3 linked regions of the Danio rerio genome follow. The protein of the gene in region 1 purifies or fractionates together with the protein of each later gene. This does not show direct contact. Links are inferred from orthologs where the notes say so. Each region holds a gene or a part of one and is shown on either strand. Other genes may lie near its edges.

Region 1 (7,675 bases):
TCCTCAAATTATCTTCTTTGGTGTTCAACAAAAACTAAGAAACTAAAACATGTTTGTGAAAAGTAAATGACAGTATTTTCAGTTTTGTGTTAACTATCCCTTTATGACTAGTTAGATCAGGGGTGTCCAAACTTAGTCCTGGTGGGCCGGTTTCCGGCTGAGTTGAGCTCCAACTTGCTTCAACACGCCTGCCATGAAGTTTCCAGGTCATCTAGTAAGCACTAGATTAGCTGGTTCAGGTTTGTTTGATTAGGGTTAAGGCTAAACTTTGCAAGACATTGGCGCTCCAGGACTGACTCTGGACACCCCTGAGTTACAGTAGATAAAGCCAGATGGACAAAATGCTTTTGCAGTTTAACCTAACTACAATAAACGAACATACAAATGCCAACAAGGCCAAATGGTTACTTTATAGCTACATGTTATTTTGGAAATTTCCCACATTTTCTGCTACTGAATGTGAGGTACGGTTCAATAGTAGGGTTGGGGTAAAGTTTACTGTGCGAATACTATACTTTTAAATTGTAAGTGTACTTACAATGTACCAACTTGTACATCTTCATATTCTGCACTACATGGAAAAAGTACAAAGTAGTTAGAGACAACTATAAAGTTACTAAAGCTTAATCATTAGTGCATTCATTCTGAGATCTACTTGCTAAATTGAAATATTTATTTAAACAATGAATACTTCATTTAACTAAAAAAAGGTTTATAAATGATACGACTTTAGACAAGATACTGAAAAAAAAAAACATTTATTCATGAATGATTTGAATCACGCTAACAGGACTAGAACTAAAAAGGTAGATCTGATAAAAAACTCCACAAAGAACATAATATATGAAAAGACTTTCCTTTTTACTTCCAAATCGAGATTATCAGCTCAATCATGCTGCTATTCTGCATAAACCTTCCTGCAGAGTTTAGTTCCGACATAAACACTCGATCAAATCAAAGTCTTGCAGTTCACCTGAAAAGCTCAGACAAGGGCTGAACTAAACTCTGCAGGAAGACAGACTTCACCCCTTTCATTTAAATGCAGTCAAGTGTTGTTTCAGGTCAGTAGGGCCTCATGCGTCCTTGGAGAGGCGGTGCGCGGTTAGGCGGAGTGATGGCAATGTCAAGATAATCTCCGATCTGAAAGCTTTGTGACTGAAGCGTCATCGAGTCATCTGCACCTTTGCGCCCAGAAACTGTGTTGCCAATTTCTTTAACCCTGCAATAAAGCCAGTGGAGTTATAAAAAATCCATAACAAATCTTAACACAGTATTAAGAACTGTGTATTCATTACCGGTAGATTTGTCGTTTGGGGTCTGGGTAAACAATGGCGAATCCAAAATGTGTGCCTTTCTTCCGAGCTTCCGGATAGACTTCCTTCACCAGGCTTGTCAGTTCTTTTAGAGTAGCATCCATCCTGCAGCCAAGGCATATACAAATCAGGATTGTATGGTTCAGTTGATCATTGATGCAGTGCCTGTTTTATAATAATACTTACCAGGTGTAAATCTGAAGTTCACTAGAGGGCACGTTCCCCCGGGCAAACTCATCCATGCGATGGTGCCTTCCATTGTTGGTGGTGAACACTCTCAGGAGAAGTGGGCATGTCTGCACAACGAGCACAACAAACACATGTAGAAAGTATTAATAACAATGTCTTTTAAAACAATCAGACATGCAGATGTGTCTGTGCATCCAATATAATGGTTATTAAACAGTTGGCACAGGATCGTTAGGCAGGAATCAAACTCGGGTCACCGAAGTGCATGTGTTGACGCACTAACCACTGGTGCAGATGTAATCTCATTTCTTAACCAACATCAATTCTGATAATAACTACAAAAGTAGTTTTAACACTAAATTGATTTATGAGAAATATACTTTTCTGTGCAGATTTTTAGAGGTTATTTGTCTTTAAGTCGACGATCAGAACAACATTTGTATTACTTTAGTTCATTTGGCCTGAAATGAAAACATGCTCAATTTTACTCCAAAACAAAACTGAAGAAATGTGCCAAAAATATAATGTTAAACATTTTTTATATAATTGCGTTTTTAAATGGAAGCCTGTTAACAAAGAGTATGTGACTTTTTACTTAAATGGCACTGGGATGGTTAAATATTAGTCGACGTTTTTTTACCAGTCCAAAACAGAATCTTGATAAGAAAATGGGTAAAATATATTAAAAGCTTAATAAAAGCAACTTTTTATTTGCCAGAATGTACGCTATGCTACATTAACAGATAAAATGAGTACAAAATAAAACAAAAAGGCCAAATGTCTAAAAGGAATGCACACGGTTTAAGATACGATTTGTAGTATAACGTTGCAACTAGATATTTTGTAATGTTTCTGTGTACCTACATTTTTAGTTAGCGTTAGATTTACAAATTAGCTTAGCATGCAGGACGCCTCGTTTGTGCACGAATATTCGCGCCACTGACGAACAGAAGTAACTGAAAACAAACCTTTTCTCTATCCACTGGCTTTGTTGGCTCTTTTTTGATCTCCTCCTGTGTGACCCTCGATTCCACAGCCATTTTTATCTTATTTGTTGAAAGAATAAGCGATGAGTCGCTGTTCACGACGCCAGTAAACGCTCGATCGCGGCGCGGTGAGATGATATCATCATAGCCAAGACAGCGAGGACCAATCACGACCGACCGGTTACGACTAGTGAAATGACGACACACTCGTGTCGCCTACTCTCCCCCACCGCCATTTTGGGAGTCAGATTGTAAATATTACTAGTTCAGGAAACCAAATACGTCCACTAATTTGGTGGCATTAATATGGTGCACACTTGCGTAGTGGCCGGTTGTCGGAACAGGAGAACTCCAGGGACCGCGTTATCCTTTTACAGGTTTCCCCGCGACCCGGAGCGGAAGCAGCGCTGGATCGCTGCTGTGAATCGTGAAGGGTGGGTGCCAAACGAGGGCAGCAGACTCTGCAGCACACACTTCATTTCAGGTAGGGTAACATCTTATGTGGTGCATATAGCATGTGTAGGTTAGCAGTAATCTAATCTCTGTGATGGTTGTAAATATGTCTAGTAATGTGTTAAATGGTGATGAAGCCCTGCCTGATGCCTACATTACTCTTACTGTTATAATGCACTTTAGGGCTTGGGTTCAATACAAATGTGGACTAAGCTATTATTTTTGGGGGGGTAAACGCATGGTATTGCTCACTAAATTAACATGTGAAAAATGAATGCGCTGTTTTTCTTTTATATTTCTTGATACAACACAATTTAATATGCCCTATAGTAAAATAATTATAATGTGTGTGTTTGTGTATAAATATATATATATTAATAAGCCATTGGTGCCATCTGGAGGGAGAAAACAGATTATATGTAATAACACATTATAACCACTAGATGAATGTGTAAAAATACTGTATCAGACGATAGTTGCTTGTAAGAGTTTGCATTTGTGTATTTTAATATTTAGACTTCATCAAAGACTAATTGTCTGTGCTTGATTTGGACAGTTACTGATTTATACTGTGTTTTAAAACTGTCTGATGCACTGAAGTTGTACAAAGAAACGCTTATAAATTGAGTTGCCTGGTGAATTTGCACATTGTTTTTAAGTGTCTTATAAACCATAACATTTTAATTTATATAAATTATTAGTTTTTTTTAAAGAACATGAATGCACTCTTAAATACATCAATGTTTTTTTTTTCCATTTACAGGAAAACAAGTGAAAAATCCTCGATCCCCTGATTTTGTTCCTTCAGTTTTCACCTCAGCGCCACTTTCCCCAAATATGAAAGAAGCAGGTTCTTGTGAAATGTATGATAAACAAGAGGCACAAGTGGAGGCCGCCAATGCTTTGCTCTTTTTGCAAGGACAAGGGCGTTTCTTGGAGGAAAATAGCCAGATGACAAGTCAAGAAGAGCCGGAGAGTGTTTCCTCTTCACTGAGCAGTTGTGACGAGGAGGATGTTAAGACTGAAGATGCTGTAAAAGAAGAAATCTCACAAACAAGCGTACTCCAAAGAGGACAACCAGTCAAAAACATTCCCCCTGACTATGAGTCCAGTCTCGAGGCTCTTAAGAAAGAAAACATGGAGCTGAGGGAATCGCTAGATAAGATGTCTCTCACTGAGGCTTCCTTTAGGAATGATCCAGAGAAGGTTCGCTTTTACACAGGATTGCCGAACTACTTTGTGTTCGAGACGGTCATGTTGCTTCTCATTCCACATATGAAAGGAGACAAAAATGTCAAACTCTCCAAATTCCAGCAACTTCTCTTGACACTAATGCGCCTCAAGCTGGATCTCAGAAACCAAGACTTGGCTTATCGTTTTGGAGTCAAGGTTGCCACAGTGGCCAGGACTGTCCATCGGATTATTCACATAATGTTCACCACTCTTGTGCCAACTGCTGTTTTTTGGCCCTCCAGAGTAGAGCTCAGAAAAAATCTACCAGCTGCATTGTGTTGCACATACCCAGACTGTGCGGTGATCATTGACTGCTTTAGGGTGTCTCTGGAAAGAGCTCTCAGTGTGGATGGAAATCAAGATGTTGCATCTACAGCATTGACCACACCAGTGCAGTCCACTGTGAATGAGCTTAAATATGTCATCGGTGTTGCTCCTCAGGGTGTAGTCACGTTTGTTTCCAGAGGATCTCCGGGTCATGTCAGCGACAAGAGTCTAGTTGAGAGTTCTGGCCTTCTCTGTAAACTCCTGCCTGGTGATGTTGTTCTGGCAGAGCGTGACTTTGACATTGGGGGCTTAGTAGGTGCTCGGAAAGCCGAACTCAAAATCACTAGTAGCACTTACTTTGAAAATAGCCAGAGCGGACTGGATGGAGATTTCTCGCCAGTTGGAGCACTATCAGATAAAGCGATTGCTCATATGCATGTTGGAAAGGTAATAGACATTGTTAAGAGGAGATATTCCATGTTAACTGGACCAGTGGAGAGCCCCTTTACAGTCGTAGACCGCACTTCCAATGTGAGCACTTTTGATAAGATTGTGCAGGTTGCTTGTGCCTTGAATAATCTGTGCATTTCTGCTGCTCCCCTGGAATGATATTTGCCACACTTTTGTAAAAGTCACTTTTACTTGTACCATTGCTGAATGCACCTTTATTGTTTCTCTATTATTATAGAAGACATTTTCTGTTCTTACAAGAGGGATCAGAACAAGGACTGGTTTACATCTGGTGTTAAGATGCATTTTGGTCAATCTGATTAGAAGTAGACGAGGGAGACACATTCACCGTTATACCTGCTGCTTAATCCAGCTGTTTTGTTCACTTTGAACCACTTTCTTGATTTTTTTAGAGGATTTCAGTGTAATACTTTGCAATAAGCTCGCACATCTAAATGAAATATAATAGCAGACAGTGGAAAATGAGAGCAAAGAACAGCAGCTTTTGTTTCTGCTACAAAACTGCAGAAAGCTGTTGGGTTTGTGTTAGAGTCACGACTGGTAGGAGAACTACTGGTAGTTGTAGATCAAAGCTTAAAATCTTATCCTCAAATTCATGCATTTACAGCCAAAAGTGAATCTGTGTTTAAAAAAAACTTACAGTGGCTGAGAGACAAAAATAAAAAAAACTGCAAATAGAAATGCTAACAAATTGAGAAAAACATTGTTATGCACTTCAATTCACACACATGCACGCAAATATTTTAACGCATCTAAATACTGAAATGCACTACAAGTTAAGAAAACCTTTCATAAGGAAAAACACTAACATATTAAGAAAACAAAGGGACTAAGCTGAAAAGAAAATTAATGAATATTAGAAAAACATCTTCGCTTTGACTACACACATGTGCACGTAAATTCTCACAAGGCATACAAATACAGAAACGCACTGCAAACAGCACAGACTACAACAGAAATTTGTCGGGGGGAACAAACAAGAAATCATACAATTAGGACATTAACATAAACAAAACAAACTCAGAATTCTGACAATTTTGCATCCTAAAGTAGGATTGTCACGATGCTGGAATTTGAAAAACGTTCATTTTCCTCGAACATTTGAGCACTGTTGAGCACGTTCTGATTTGCCACTGTGTTCAAGTGCTCAACAGAAATGACTGTAATTGGCCGTGAAGGTCATTGGTTCACCGAACTCATCGCAGTTTACTGACATACATTTTTTCCACGTACATTTGAGAGCTGTTAAGCACAATCTTTAACAGCGCTGATTTGTCATTGTGTTCACATGCTCAACAGAAATGACTGTGATTGGCCATGAAGGTCATAGGTTTACCAAACTCATCGCTGTTTACTGCGTGTAACCACAGATACAGAGACACTGGAGCATTTCATAGTCGCGCCTATCAGCTGGTTGGTCTATAAGCTGACATACAAGTGATCCGTTGATGAATCGCTGCTTTAAAGCGCTCCAGTGTCCCTGTATCTGTGGTTACACGCAGTAAACAGTGGTGAGTTCGGTAAACCAATGGCCTTCAAGGCCAATAACAGTCATTTCTGTTGAGCATGTGAACACAATGGCAAATCAGCGCTGTTTAAGAAAGTGGTCAACAGCGCTCAAATGTTTGAGTAAAATGAAAAATTCCAGTTTTTTAAAATTCCAGTACAGACTGGTATTGAATTTTGGTATCGTGACAACCCTACTCTAAATAAGAAGCAGCGGGGCTTGTGACTTTTGTGTTGTCAAACGGATGAAGATGTTTTCTCAGTTTGTTATTGATTTATATATGCTCAAGCGCACTTAAACCATTATAGAAACTAGAAGTGGTGTGCAGAATGAAAGAATTTAGGGCTTTTTTTCACAGAAACTGAACAAAATTGCTCAGGAAAAGGAACAAATCAAAACATTTACATTTACACAGCGTATTTTGCTTCATGCAAATGATTAAATACATTCCCTTCATTTGTTCTTAAAGTTATTCCAAAAGTCTAATATTTTTCTTCAACACCTTCAAACCAAACTTACTAGCTGAAATCATGCCTGGTTAGTGTACTTTAACAACACTAACTATAATGGTAGGTTGAGGATGAGGTGTTTTTATCTGATTTTTATTTGCATTTGTCCACATGAGCGTCTACATTTATGTGTTTGGACTACCTCTGGATGTGGTTGATAGTTTACAAAGTGTTTCAGCCTCCATTCACACATGCATTTATCATCGTCCATTTGTGATCAGATTGACAGAAACGCATCTTAATATCAGCTGTTAACAGGGCCTTATGCAACTTAAGGACCAGTTCCAATCATTAGTTAGGCACAGTTCACTGGACAATCTTCCCTCTGTGTGTGTGTGATTTTGTTTTACGTAAGGAGCTTCCTTAGTCTCTGAGCTGACTTTGTTGATGCTTTGGTTTGATAGAGACATTCCATCCATAGCTTAACTTTAAATTGGTATTGTCGAGAGTGGAAGTTGTATGCTGAGAATTTCAACTATTCAAGGCCCTGAAGAATCGCCTCGGTCAGAGACTCTTATAGTCATTTACTTTGACAGCAGCTGCCTTTAGGTTCCAGTGCCTTTGTCTGAGTTATGCCTCCTATGGTTTTCTTTCGCTTCTGTATAGATATATAATATATTTTTGTCAATAACCCAGCAGTACTGTGCTTTTTACTTCTGATGATGCCTAGTCACTATTACTATGGGATTAAGTACCATAGAATTACCATTTAGTTATTTGCATTGTGTGTGATCATTGTTTTAATCA
Region 2 (7,592 bases), on another chromosome or scaffold:
CAATGGATAATTAAGTGGAGCAAAGCCACATCACATGTAACTTGATCTTCCATGGTTAAATAAATTTAAAAAGAACTGCGCAACAATTTCCCGCTAGAAAGCATGTTTTATGCAGGAATGTAACTGATATAATCTTGCAGCGGCCCCTTTAAATATCAGATCAATGTTTTGAATTTTGACACTCTCGCCGCCAGAGCTGAAGGCAGACAGCGTTGTCGCTAGGGCAGCCAGAGTGACCTTAGACGCTCTCACCGCTTTTGGGGTGATCGCACAATTAGGGTGTCATGACAGTCTTATGAACACCTCTTCAAGTAGTTACCACCCTGTCTTACTATATATATTGACAACACACAACAAAAATAAATGAATGCTATGATAAAGCTGTTTAATACTAGCTAGAAAAAATGGATCCAGATCCATCAAATTTGTATAGTTTTAAATTTGTGAACACAAAAAAATATGATATGACAATTAGCATATCACAGTGAGCATAAAAAATACATGTAATAGCCATAATGCAGGGAGTTGTGCAATAATAATCACAACCGCAATAATAAAAAGGGCTATCTTTGAAAGAATGAAAGAAATATAAATTATGAAAGAAATATAATAAAAAATAATATAAATTAAGAAGATTTTTTTAATGTATCAAAGGTTAAGTAAAGGTAATATTAATGGTTCCAGATCCAAATAAAAGATTGCTTTATAGACCATGATCCTCCACTCACCACGAAGAACATTTGCCGCTGGTCTTTATGAGGCAACAGGAAGAGGCGGAGCACTGTGGTGTACGGGATCTTGTAGTCAAATGTCTTACCGTGTAGATGAAGGAATGTTGGATAAATACGGATATCGTACCTAAAGAGAGAGCAAGAAAAATCAAATCACACAATGCCAGTTCACACCTTTGACATTTTTATGTTAAATAAACAACCAAAAAGTATGATGAGAGTATCCAGATGTGTGTATGTATGTACCTGCCCCTAGGCGTGAGGCACTGCAGCTCTCTGAAGATACAAACAGCATCTCCTGTGGCCTGGATGACATCTGCCTTCGACAGCACATTCTGAGCAAATGCCTGAAACATAACGGTTTTCATTACTTCTCAGATTAAGCGGGATTTACAGATATAAATATTGTACAGTAGGACTACAAGAAGAGGGACAGAGGTTTTACGCAAATGTTTAGACGTGTCCCATTGCTTGAAGTCTTTTCTCTTATAACAGGCATCACCAAACTTGTTCCTGAAGGGCCGGTGTCCTACAGATTTTAGCTCCGACCCTAATCAAACACACCTGAACAAGCTAATCAAGGTCTTATTAGGTATACTTGAAACACCTAGGCAGGTGTGTAGAGGCAAGTTGGAGCTAAACCCTGCAGGGCACCGGACCTCCAGGAACGAGATTGGTGACCCCTGCCTTATAACATTTCGTCACCTTGGAATTGTAAGATTCTATCTGCGTTCTAATGATTTTGAGATATTGAGCTTCGAAGTTTTCGCATTTCATATAGGAAACAATATGCATGTAACAGTTCTCTTTCTTACATTAACATGACAGAGAGCCTAAATGTACTCTAAATGTAAAATATCAAAATTGTCTTAAAAAAAAAACTGGGTGAATGCAGATGCAGAACCTTGTAATTCTAAAAAGTCTTATTCTGCTTAGAATTATAAGGTTCTATCTAGCAGATCAATAATTGAAGCATTGCTTTTCAAAAATACGATCAGTCTGCTTATTAATTTAAAAAATAAAAACTGGTATGTTTTATTAAGTTGTTGTTATATTTTTGCTTTCTATGACTTTATTTAATGTTTTAGGATGAAACTTGTTTCTTGTTCAAATGAACCATACAAGGCTGTGCTAAATATTTTGTCCAGTGCAGCTGTTAATTGTACACTAAGAATTGCTAGGTTATTTACACCCAAACTGGGTAAAATATGGACTAACTCAAGCATTGGGTTTAATTTAGTCTTTATTTATTTAATTAAAAAATTAACTCTGCAGTTGGTTTAGTCCATATTACACCCAGCATAAGGCTGAAATACCCCTAGCATTTTTAAGAGTAAATGTAATTAATATGGTAATATTTATTGAATATATGCTTTATAAAAATAATTGAATTATATTTATTGAATTATATGCCGCATTAATTAAATTATCTAATATTTGCCCTTCGAGGTTTAAGATTAAATTTAAAGACTCTAAAAAAACGCAGACAATGAGTGAATGAGTTTTAATAAACACTGAAAAATGTTTCACTGACAATATATACACAAATAAAAATATTTCACATTTAATATATTACATTTTTTAAATAACTGTTTCTTTTTCAACAATGTAAAATTGAACCTGCTTCTAAATCATCACATTTACACACATCTTTTCAGTTTCAGGTTTCTTTTTAATTTTGTGAGGTGCGGCATAATTTAGTCGACTTGTATTGTGTTTCCTTCTGGTCTTTCCAGCTGTCGACAGAGCAATCTGGCGAAATGACAAAGAAAGCTGTTCCTGATTAGTCCTCGTGGGTGCATAAGAATGGCTCACAGAAAAAAACTTATAAAGCCAAGACAGAGTTCGACTTTGTAGTTTTGTAAATAAAACCTCTTCAAATGTAAGCAACTAAAAAAACATTCCATAATGTAAATAAGTTGTCATTTAATAAGAATATGTGAATAACTCAATTTTGACAAAAATGTCAGATAGAATCTTATAACTCTAAAGTGACAATATTTTAATGATCATTCAAAAGCTTTAAAAATAAATATCCTTTATGAAATCATTACTTTTGTATATGCCACATTTAAAGCTTTTAGATTGTCCCAACCAACCCCCCAGTAGGTGTCAATCTTCATATTACAAAATGCACTAGACTATTTTATAATCTTAAAATTTATTTAATCTTGAAAAAGGACATAAACATGCATTTGACAATCAGGACTCCATATTTAGTGTCTGTTTTGTAATAGACGTACTAAATGCTTTGACAGAAACTGATTGATTTGTGACACAGAAATGAATTTCAGTATCACCTGCTGTGTACTTTTATGTAACTGCAACTTTATTTTTAACTACAAGTTTTAGAACATACCTTAATTAGACATGGCCATTTAAGTTGGGATAGAGCCAATAAATGAATAAACAAAATAAAAAAAAAAGATATAATGAACTAATTAAAATAAATAAATACAACTCAGTTGATATGTATTGTATTACAGTTGAAGTCAGAATTTTTTGCCCCCCTGAATTATTAGACAGCTTGTTTTTTCCCCCCCCAACTTCTGTTTAACGGAGAGAAGATTTTTTTTCAACACATTTCTAGTCATAATAGTTTTAATAACTCATTTCTAATAACTGATTTATTTTATCTTTGCCATGATGACAGTAAATAATATTTTACTAGATATTTTTCAAGACACTTCTATTCAGCTTAAAGTGACATTTAAACGCTCGACTAGGTTAATTAGGTTAACTAGACAGGTTAGGGTAATTAGGCAAGTTATTGTATAACGATGGTTTGTTCTGTTGACTATTGGGAAAAAAATTGCTTAAAGGAGCTAATAATTTTGTCCCTGAAATGGTCTTTAAAAAATTAAAAACTGCTTTTATTGTAGGCAAAATAATACTAATAAGACTTTATCCAGAATAAATAATATTATCAGACATACTGTGAAAATTTCTTTGCTCTGTTAAACATCATTTAGGAAATATGTAAAAAAGAAGAAAAACTAATTCAAAGGGGGGCTAATCTGACTTCAACTTTAATTCTTAGTTATAATTAAAAATGTAGTATTTATTTATTTTTCATGTTTTTATTTTGTCATTTTATATATTGTTTAATTTTTTATCCGTCTAACGGTATATTGAGTAAAAATTATATTTTCCAAATAATATTTCACTAAATGTACGCAAATATTACTTGCATCTTTATAAATGAAATCTTCATACAAGGACCCAATGGTGATGGTTATATTTGGGCATCTCTAATTTTAAGACTAAAAAAGGCTCCTGCTTTAGGGGAATTGATCTCTTGGTAACCTGCGCCATCTGCTGGTCAGTGTTAGACTGGGATGAACATGCACACTCTTACCTCTACCGGGTCTGAACCCTCGTCCCCTGTGGTGGGTGGGACGTAGAAGCGCACCTCCATGAGAGACACCTCTGTGTCATCATTCTGATGAAACTCCACTGTCACCTCATTCTTACCCGTCGTACACTGGGATACACTGGAGAGAGGAATCTCAAATGTAGGGCTGTCATTCACGTCAAAGGAAAGCAACGGCCCTGAAAATACACAGGAGAGCAGTTTAACACATAGATGAGGCCGATTTTTTAAGCTGAGTTTAATAAAATACAAAGCTTGAACATGGTTAGTTATTAACAGTGTTTCATTGTTCGGCCCTGGGGTAACGTTCAGTGCTTGGCTGTATCAGAAGGAAGTAGACCTGTGCCAAATGACGACAGTATATAAATTTTTCTGCTTTAGCAACCCTGACAGAGTTACAGAGGGACAGAGAGCAGCCTTTACTGTTTCTATATAAAGTATTTCATTATATATTGTGGTCAACAGGTCAACAACTTAAAAATGTACCAAACTATGCTTTAAAAATGTATCATTACTATTATAATTGACACACACACACACACACATACATACATATAAATATATATATAGAAATATAGAAATAAATTTTTACTTGCATAGAGCTTGATACTGTAAGCCTCTTTTACTATTTGTTGCATTATAATGAATAAATAAATAATGAATAAATAGGTGGCGCAGTGGGTAGTGCTGTCGCCTCACAGCAAGAAAATCACTGGTTCGACAAACGACTGGGTCAGTTGGAATTTCTGTGTGGAGTTTGCATGTTCACATGGGTTTCTTCCGGGGTACTCTGGTTTCCCCCACAGTCCAGACTCCAAAGACATGCGGTACAGGTGAAATGAATAAGCTAAATTGGCCATAGTGTATGGGTGTGAATAAGAGTGTATGGGTGTTTCCCAATGTTGGGTTGCAGGTGGAAGGGCATCCACCGCATAAAACATATGCTGGATAAGTTGGTGGTTCATTCCACTGTGGCGACCCCAGATTAATAAAAGGACCAAGTCAAAAAAGAAAATGAATAAATGAGCCGATATATCCACTGTCCCATTAAGCAGGGTCTAAAATGAAAACATTTTTGAAAGCAAGGAAAAAACAACAACTATAAATCTAAGCTTTGTAATGGCACTGTTGTTATTAATAATGTAATTACGTTTATTTACACAATGTATATTTATTAAAATTATATTAATTGTATTATTATAAAAATAATATTACTGTTATATACTGTGCAATAGTATCACAATAATATATATTTTATGGACTTATTACATTTTTATAATTAATTGAAAAAAATCTAAAGCAAATTGTAATTACAATTGAAAGTAAAATGCTACACAGAATGCATTGCTTATTTTGTCTTACAATAAAGTCAGCTGGCGAAAAGGCGAGGCGAGAACATCTTGTAAGACATCTTGTATGTCCTGCTCTTAGTGCTCCAACAGCCTGAGTATTTACAACATTTACACTACAACATTATGTATTTACCTTGAATTAGCTACATCATGTTTAATAATATGTATTTTTGTATTTATTACATTTTTATAATTAGTTAAAAAAATCAAACATTTTAATTACAATTACCGATTCACATCACCATACATAACATACAAGAAACCTATTTTTATAGTGTTATTTTGCTTTTGATTATTAAAAAGCTTTAAAGATATGTTCATCGAAAGGTTCTTTGATATGGAGCGAATAATATGCCAAAACAATCTGAATTTTCTTCACTGTTGATGACCCCTGACCTACTTTTTGCTAAATCTGAATTTCACAATCTGATTTTCTGGTTTTAAAATTTAAAATATTGAATTCGATGCTCTGAATTTCTTCATCTTGAAAACTCAAAACTGTATTTTCACAAGCTCAATATCTGCAATCTATAAATTTAGAACGAAAAAATCTGAAGTTTGAAAATACGTCAATAGAAATCTGAAAAAATTCAGTTGTCTTAAATTTCAGATGTTCAATATTCAAGTTAAGAAATTCAAATTCAAACAGTTTAATAGCATTTAATATTAAATTTTATTAAATTACAATTGCTATTGTGATTCAAATTTGCACAATTTAAATTCAGATTGTTTTTCCATATTATTTGCTCCATACTTTTGGAAGACAAACATACTAAAAAACAGTGTTTAAGGTCACTACTGTCACAATCACCAGCGATCTAGACCAACGAATCCTGTCATGCACCTCACACACACCTGTTCCAGTTCTCTGTTGATTACACACACACACACACACACACACACACACTTTTTTGAGTCTTGTTTATCTGTGAGCATTACGACGTGTTTTCTCCCTGTTTAGCCTAGCTGTGTTTTAACCCTTTGTCTCTTTGTTTTGATTCTTTGCTGCTTGTTCCGACCATTCGCCTGTTCTATGACCACGACTCTGGATTCTCTGTATGTATCTGTTTTACCCTGTTGACTGTTGCCTGCCTGACCATTCTAGTAACAAACCTGTTTGTTAAAACAGAGCAATGAAATTTTCACAGTATGTCTGATAATGTTTTCTTCTGGAGAAAATCTTATTTGTTGTATTTTGGCTAGAAGAAAAGCAGTTTTACATTTTTTAAAAACACTTCAAAGACAAAGTTATTAGCCCCTTTAAGCTATTTGTGTCCGATGGTCTACAGAACAAACCATCACTATACAATAACTTGCCTAATTACCCTAACCTGCCTAGTTAACCTAATTGACCTAGTTAAGCCTTTAAATGTCACTTTAAGCTGTATAGAAGTGTCTTACAAATATCTAGTTAAATATTATTTACTGGCATCATGGTAAAGATAAAATAAATCAGTTATTAGAAATGAGTTATTAAAACTATTATGTTTAGAAATGTGTTGAGAAAATCTCTCTGTTAAACAGAAATTGGGGGAAAAAATAAACAGGGGGGCTAATAATTCAGAATGGCTAATAATTCTGACTTTAACTGAATATCTCAGACAAAAAGCGTTGCAACAGGAATGCACTGACCATTAAATTTAGCAGTGCCCCAATTCCAGCCCTTAACACACATGTCTTTCTCTGTTAGCTCCACTTTGTAGTTGTCTTTGAAGTATTCTGAGATCTTCTCAAGGTCCTGCGCAAAAAGAAACGGATGAAAATTTAAGACCTGGAATGAAACAGCGGATCAAACTGAGTGATCAATTGATCTGTAATTTGCATCTCAGACTCACTGCGTCTTTAAAGCCATCATATTTGTAGATGTGGCCAGTGCTGGTCCATAGTTTGATGCCGTGACCCAGACAGACTCTCCTCCACTGGGCCTGAGTGAGTTCAGGGACCGGAATAGTGTCCACCTTCCCGGTCTTACTGTTTTTATACACCACTGTCTGCTTACTGAAGCGCAGGCGGCCGTCATTCTACAAGAAAAGACAGTCGGTCAACTTTATTGAGAGTTTGATAGAAAAACACCTCAAGTTAGAGAACAAAACCTTTTTTAACTCACCCATGAGCCCTTGACCTCCTGATAAATTT
Region 3 (7,692 bases), about 11 Mb from region 1:
AAAGTAAAACTAAATCAATAAAATAGCTTGATGAAATCATGGTGCATTCCCCCGAAAGGCTCTCTGGCCTCACATCAGAGCAAAAACTACTAACTATGGTCTTGATTTATCTGATAAACACGCTTCTTTTTGTTGACCATAACCTACACAGGACGAGTTGCTGCACCCTTAAGAGAGTGCAGACAGGACTGGCATAGCAGTACTGCTGTAGGAGAGAAATTAAGGACAGTTAGTATGGGCCTGTGGAATCTTGGTACACAGATTCTTCAATAGATATATCTCTATTTTATCATTATAAAATAGAAATATATTTACACAACAGTTTTTGTAAAGCTTCCTCTGTCTGGGACTACATGCAAGATGATTTGCCTGATCCAGAATTATTGCCCTCCCATAATTTGGTCCCAAGTGAGTCAGTTTTGTGAGTGTGCAGCCTGTTTAAACATGATCTAAACTTCTTGTAAAATTGTACTGGTATGAGCACCCACAGGCCATCGGTTTTAAGATACTAAATTATCTGGACAACATAAATGGAGTTAAATTTGGCTTCACAGGGCTTTAAAGCTCCACTCTTATTGGGAATCATTACTGACATTGACACATCAGGGGTGTCTAACCATTGAAAAATATGCAGGCAATAGTATGGGGGGAAAAATAAATCTGACAGTATGCTGTCTCTGGCAATTAGAAACTTTTCATATACTACACAGTGTCTGTGTTTAAGTTGCCTGACTACTGTATCATCTGTTTCACACATTAAAAACATTAACCCTTCGAACAACACACCTACCTGCAACCTATGCCATGATGGGACCAATGACACCACCCAACCGTCTCCCAAAATCTTTGCTGCCCAACTTAAACAAGTACACATATAAATCCATCATCAATATTTTTCAGTACATTTCATTTATCCACTTATGCCTTACTGAGACAGTCTTAAAAGGGATATTTCACCCAAAAATTATGTTTTGAATGACTTGTTTCAAACCTTTATTTTGAAAAACATTAGAAACCTGCAACCCTTGACTTACATAGTGTTTGTTTTTCCAACTATGGAAGTCAATGGTTACAGATTCTCAGCTTTCTTCAAAATATCATCTTGTGTGTTCTAGAGAAAAAAAATCTTTGAAACCTCTTGAGGGTGAGTAAATAGTAAGAAAGTTTTCATTTTGGCGTGAACTATCCCTTTAAGGCCCTGATATTGCTTAAATGAAATTGAAGAACAAAGAACTCAAAACTACTTTCGAATAAAATCTTAAGTTCGTTTGAAGTTGCAACACTGGCACTGTTGTTTGTCACGTTTAATACTGTAAAGCCGCTTCCTTTAAAATGATTTAATGTATAAACAGATATACAGTAAATCTTTTGATTGAACTGTAAATCCCATATAAATATCCTCATTATTAGATGCTGTATTCTTAATTCTATAATTTATATTTATTTTGTTAAACGTGCAGTACACCATATATTATTATAAAGAGTGGCCTGAGTGGTTTAGAATTTACTAACAGAACAGAACTGTTCAAGTATTTTACACTTATTTTATCCTTAAATGAAAGTTTTAAGAAAAATTCAAAGACTTCGCTGAGCACATATCAGGGCCTTTACAGATCAGTCCAGGGAGCAAGCAGTTGGGTGGTGTTCGAAGGGTTAAGCAGCAAAAAAGGCCGGTCTGCACCGGATCGTCATGGGCAGAGAACATAAATACTGATTGGCATGGGCAAATAAAATAAGCAGAGGAGAATGGTAGTGTGAAATTTACCATCAGCAAACGGGTCATGACGCTCTGGGGAGATGATCATCTTTTGTCTGCGCTTCTTGTATTCATCCTCCCTGTCTGAAATTTTCTGCGGTCTGTGTTCGGCAAAGGGATCATACTGCAAAATGGGTACAAACAATTGTATGATCAATTCGAAATTGACATTTCAAAAACACATACAAAAACTTCACAAGAAAACACACACACACACACTGCAACTTGAAGGTGGAAAGTCTGTTAAATTACCTGCTCATCTGACTGAGGAATTGAGTTGAGTATTGCAACCGGAGCATGATATCCTGGTTTCTTCTGTACAAGGAGACTTGTAGATGAATCCTCGTCATCATCCTAAAATAAAAATAGTTGGGGTTAGGTTCAAGAAACTAAACAGAATTCTTATACACAATGGAGTTGTATTTTTTGTTTTACTTTTAAGAGCGTTATGCTATAACTTACATCCTCCTGCTCATTGGCAGCAATTGAAGTCAAATACCCATCAAAGCGGCTGTCACTGCCCCCGTAGATCTCCTGGTCATAATACCCAGTGGAATCAAGGCCAACTCCTTGGTCACCGCCCTCCACCACCAGAGCGGCTTTCTTCCCCTGGATTTCCAGGATCTGAGCCTCAATGTCTACAACAAAAACAAAAAACAACAACCAGAGATTAGTCCTCTAAAAATAACAAAAAACATTTTAACTAATATTATAATAGGTGAGGTGACCTGGAAGTCATTTTCCACCATCACTAACGTCACTTTTATACATGTTAGGCATGGGACAATAACCTTTTTCAAGGTATACCGTGGTTTGGAAATGTCAAGGTTTAAAAAAAAACACCAAATTTTTCTGTAACGTAGGATTTTTTTTACGTTTCGTTTTTTTAGGACAACAGTATCTCTAGCAGAAAAAAAATCTCCAAAGATGCCAAATTTAAATTTTAAAGAAATCTGTTTTTTTTTTTAACTAATGAAGTCTGTACCTATATATATATATATATATATATATATATATATATATATATATATATATATATATATATATATATATATATATATATATATATTGTGTTCAAAGTGAAATGTTTTTGTTTTTTAACAGATATTTAAAAAGAACTTATTTTAGAGCAGTAATTGCAAACTTTTATCCAAGGTTATCATACAGTCGGAACCTTTAATACACACTGACATTAAACTGCATATTCTATTAATAGAACAAACTAAGGTAAATCTGGTTTTATATTTTTATATTTATATTATGGCCTGTATATTGTTTACTGTGCTATGAATATTCAGTCTAAACTAACACAAGAGATTTAATCTAACCCTAAAGAATAATAAAAAAAACAGTAGCACTATTTAATTGACAGTCATATGCCTTCCCTACTAAGAATTTGCAAAAATTCTTTTTCTGAAACTATATTATTAAAATCAACAATCGATGAGTTTTATATGCAAAAAATCTCTACATGCCGCTTGATATTCTTCTTCAATTAGCATTTTTCTCTAACTCCTGTGTGTAGGCTCAGTAATGTTACTGTTATAGTAATGAATAAGTTATTTTCATTGACTTTAAAGTGAAATAACAAGGAGGCTGAAACAAAATTCTCATTTTAGGAGACAAGTTGGCATTTAGAGATTTTTGAATCCTAACTCTTCAATTTAAGACAATGATTTGTAAACCATACATGCACAATATTAAGACAAAAAGAAGTCCCTACATACATATAAAATCCTTACAAATATTTATAACTAATACGTGAAGGGAGATGTAACTTATATTTTATTATTACTTAGGTATTGTCATAAAAACATTGCATAATGTATTAATATAACAAAAGTGCGTAAGCCCGCTTAACATAATGACTGTTGCAGGACAATCACCCACGGCCATGTGTTATACATAAACATGGAAAATGCCAAACGTTAAACAATGAATACAAGTTACATCTCTACAAAAATAAAATAAATAACCACACTATCACAAGTAAACGTCTATGAACATACCTACATAATGGAAAAGCTCTGTTTGTGTTTGCAACGCCATTTTGGTTTCAATACATCACTGATTAACCAGTACATCTTCACATTACGTAGTCTACATAGACAAAACAGACACATGCTAATGCTATTTTCTAGCACTGTATATTACAATTAGCTCTGCTATAATCCACAAAAAAACTCTTAATGCGGAAAAAGCGCTGATATTTTATATGTGCGCCACGGCCAGGTTTTATTCAACGACCAGACGCCATATTCTATTCACGGGCTTAGCCAGTTCTAATCCTGCTCATTTCTCGCTTAATGCACTTCTTTTAAATAAAAAGTGGCATTAAGCACAAAATGCAATATATAAAAAACTACAAAACGAGACATGCTTCTTGCAAATATTTGAAACCTAAACTCACCATCATGTGTTTTGGCGATCTGCGCCATTTTCGTGCTGTTGTGTAAGCCTCACTACCGGAAGGCCTTTCACGACAGCGTCTCGTTTACAAGAACGCGCATGCGCATTCTCTGCGGCAGAAAATAACGCACATGCGCAGAGCACAAGCACTAGGCGTCAACACAGCTGGCAAGTGACAGCATTCTCTTGTTAAGTTTACCCCCCGCTCTGCTTGAGGAAAGAGCCACAACGGAGTGGAGGATTTTCCAAATGTTTGCTTGTTGTTTTTAGTTAGAGACTCTAAGGTATAGATTAACAAGATAAAATGGAATAAGGCTATTTATGAACCAAACAACTTAATTAATAGCATATTTATGTGGCAAAGACCAAACTTTTTTCAGGAGGAATGAGAACAGGACAAGTTTACTTGTGTCTCTTTCGAAACATTAATTCATTTTCTTTTTTGGGGGGGGTTAGTCCCTTTATTAATCAGGGGTCTCCACAGAGGAATGAACCGCCAACTTATCCATCATATATTTTATGCAGCGGATGCCCTTCCAGCAACACAACACTAGGAAGCCCTCTTGCATTCAAACACATGCACTACGGTCATTTTAGCTTAAATATTTTAAATAGTATTACATAAAAACCGTGCTCTCTGTTGTTTTGAATGCTTATGTTACAGGCGCATGTAAGACAGATTTGACTGCAGTTTTAAAAAGCAGTATGGTTACATAATCAGGGGGTTTTAAATTTGAGTTAAGGAAGTTTTAGCTAGGGGTTCTATGGAAATGTTTGGGGGAAGGAATGGAGAAACTAGTACATATAGTAGTAATAATTAATAATTTAAATAATAAAAAATAAGTAAATATTTAATAATGTAACATAATAGAAACATAAGCATATTCCAAATACTATTTTAGATCTATTTATAGTATGTTCAACATGTTCAATGTATAAATTTGGTATTTATTCCAGAAACTATGTGGTCTGGGTGTCTTACATTTTAGGATGGGGTCTTTTGCACAAAAATGATTATATTTTGTCTTTATTATCATGAAGTTTAAAATGTATACATGTGTAATTACTTTACATTGTGAAAAACTGCTCCATATTATATTTAATTGACTTAGGACTAACTTATATTACTATCAAATTCTGTGACGATAACAGTAATGGCAACAGTAGTTTAGTAGCAATTTCATTGTAACTTAACTGGACAGATATGCATAAATATTATTTAATTTACATATTTGTTAATTATAATACTTTATAGTAAGCAAAACTTATTAATTCGTTTACACTGACTGTGTCCTCAAACAAATTTAGCAGTAACCTTTACTAACTATGCACTGTAGGTCGCGCAGTCTGGGCAACCCTATCCTGCATCCCGTGACAATTCTGCGCACGCAAACCCTCTGCACAATTAAAACACTTACGTCAGTGAGTGTCATCGATGACGGACGGACGACTCAACGAATCAGAGGCCGTGAAAAACAGCCTCGGCCAATGACATTGTAGGACGGGTCTTCGAGAGGGCTGGTCTTCGAGACGGGAAAAGAGTTCTCGACGGGAGGAGGCGAAAGAGAGGTGAAGTGAAGATGGCGAGAGGCTCCCGGTGTTTGAGGAGAGCGGTAGCGGAGTGTATCAGAAACTTACCGTCCACAGCCGGTCGAGAAACACCAGGGAAGAGTGGAGTGAGGTAATTAAAGACGGTTTAATGTTTCGCACTGTCTCTGTGCGGTTATCTGAAGACTAAACTGAGTAACGCAGTGAAGTAAGTCGCGAGCTTCTGACGATATTTGGACGGTTAGTTTCGCTCTTACAAGTGGATCCTGTTTAAGGCCAACTTGACAAGTTTATGTAAATGAAGACCTTATTAATAGTTCAACAATGGTTTAAACATTCTGACGTGCTCTAATAAGTGTTTAAAAAACTTTAGAGGGAGGGTTGGGTGGGTGGGAGTCACATATCTGGTTGCCAGATAAAGTGTCAGTAGCAAGGTTAAGATATTATGTAATTGTCCAGGTGTATCTAGCAAGCGCTTTTCTCATTTTTGCAATGACCGTTAATGAGCTGTATACAGCTAGTGTTTATTTAATACAGCTCTGAAATCACATACAACTAAAGGGAAATTGCAGAAAAGTGGGAGTTTGTAATTTTTGAAAAAGCTGCTCCCAAACAGTATTTAGCTGCTTTTTTTGTAAACTAGCTACATATCAGACACAGTCAGTAGTTTTTATTAGGGAAACAGTAAACTTTTAGAAGTGGCACCCTTCATGTGCATATAATCCAAAGGTGAGTCCTTTATTAAATTTTCTCCTGACACCTTTGCAGGTATGAGTTCAAAGAAGACTGCTGCATATCTGACGTCACTAGCTAAGCTGTGACGTTTATTACCTGTGGTCAGGGACGTAGTGTACCCATACCGAGTGCTTGGCTCTGCCAAGTGCTTAAACCAGTTGCATAAGGCAGGCCGTCTCAAGTGTCTGATGGTGACTGTTCCATCACCATTGGCTGACACCGTTACGCCATGCTTAACAGCTCTTGGCAACAGTTGTGCTAACATGAATGAATTTGGCTGCCTCTCTTTCCATTGAGTAGATATTGTGCCATTTATAGAGCAAAGCCCCATCCCATTGCATTTCAGTGATTGATCTGAAACACGTTGGACACATTTTATGGGATGGGGTGTTACTACTGCCCTTGACTTGATTGGACTGGTCAGCGAATCAGCAATCATGCTCTCCTTGTGATTTGTGTCTTGACAAATGGAGGGCAGGTGAACATGTCATGAAGTGCTATATTTTCTCCGCATGAAAGAACACTCAGCAACATATGATTTTGTAGTTAATGATGAACTATGTGAACCAAGAACTACACTAATACACAACCGCTTACGTCTGGACTGCTTTTGTGGTCTGATTTGCATGGCCGGTTGCTTCACAGTTGGCTTTTTTTTAGCTCCCCATTTGCATTTCAAAAGCTGGTTAGTCAGAGCCTTTCTAAATTTAATTAGCCAGAGCATGACAATTAGGACAATACAGAAGACCCTAAATGCTACATTTTCTCTACACCATTTCACACCTGCAAACATGTTTGAAAATTTTTTATATAGCATTGTATATTATTTCAGCTGTTCTTAAATGCAATCATTTGCTACCGTTGACTAATGTTTACAAAATAATAACTGTCTAATAATAGTTGTAATATCCTCTATTAACAATTATTCAGTTGCATGTTAGGGCACATGTAAGTTAATAGTGCATGTGCCAGTGTTTCTTACACTTTTCAGTTTATATACATTTTGATTGAGTTTTAAAAGTCTCTAAAATATAATTCATCACATATGAACAACCATTCTTTTCCCATTTAAGTACAGAAAGTTTGCTACATATTGATTTGATTGTGTTCAACTCTTTGAAGCAAAATTGTGTTGTAAAAAATGTTCCATAAAAATAAACTATGTACATACGTTGCATTTACATTAGGACTGCACAATATATCGTTTCAGCATCGATATTGCAATGTGATCATTCAAAATGGTC

Evidence for each region.
Region 2: the proteins of sap18 (region 1) and ssrp1b fractionate together in Homo sapiens (co-fractionation; 3 studies listed by BioGRID and IntAct, with this or other methods). This does not show direct contact. The link is inferred for Danio rerio from reciprocal best matches to the Homo sapiens genes SAP18 and SSRP1.
Region 3: the proteins of sap18 (region 1) and sf3b1 purify together in Homo sapiens (co-immunoprecipitation; 3 studies listed by BioGRID and IntAct, with this or other methods). This does not show direct contact. The link is inferred for Danio rerio from reciprocal best matches to the Homo sapiens genes SAP18 and SF3B1.

What each region holds. Positions count from the first base shown.
Region 1 is NC_133184.1:22,881,395-22,889,069, forward strand, and holds sap18 (histone deacetylase complex subunit SAP18), read right to left. Parts: upstream 2,658-7,675; 5' UTR 2,543-2,657; coding exon 2,471-2,542; intron 1,610-2,470; coding exon 1,500-1,609; intron 1,419-1,499; coding exon 1,296-1,418; intron 1,220-1,295; coding exon 1,063-1,219; 3' UTR 740-1,062; downstream 1-739. Other genes in the region: uncharacterized protein zmp:0000001333, read left to right, coding at 2,795-2,972, 3,705-5,050. UniProt on the Homo sapiens protein: Component of the SIN3-repressing complex. Enhances the ability of SIN3-HDAC1-mediated transcriptional repression. When tethered to the promoter, it can direct the formation of a repressive complex to core histone proteins.
Region 2 is NC_133176.1:47,971,230-47,978,821, reverse strand, and holds part of ssrp1b (FACT complex subunit SSRP1), read right to left. Parts: coding exon 7,564-7,592; intron 7,478-7,563; coding exon 7,292-7,477; intron 7,195-7,291; coding exon 7,089-7,194; intron 4,284-7,088; coding exon 4,090-4,283; intron 1,079-4,089; coding exon 978-1,078; intron 859-977; coding exon 729-858; intron 1-728. UniProt on the Homo sapiens protein: Component of the FACT complex, a general chromatin factor that acts to reorganize nucleosomes. The FACT complex is involved in multiple processes that require DNA as a template such as mRNA elongation, DNA replication and DNA repair.
Region 3 is NC_133184.1:33,852,958-33,860,649, forward strand, and holds the start of sf3b1 (splicing factor 3B subunit 1), read right to left. Parts: upstream 4,221-7,692; 5' UTR 4,195-4,220; coding exon 4,167-4,194; intron 2,395-4,166; coding exon 2,219-2,394; intron 2,111-2,218; coding exon 2,009-2,110; intron 1,881-2,008; coding exon 1,766-1,880; intron 206-1,765; exon of another isoform or gene 148-205; intron 1-147. UniProt on the Homo sapiens protein: Component of the 17S U2 SnRNP complex of the spliceosome, a large ribonucleoprotein complex that removes introns from transcribed pre-mRNAs.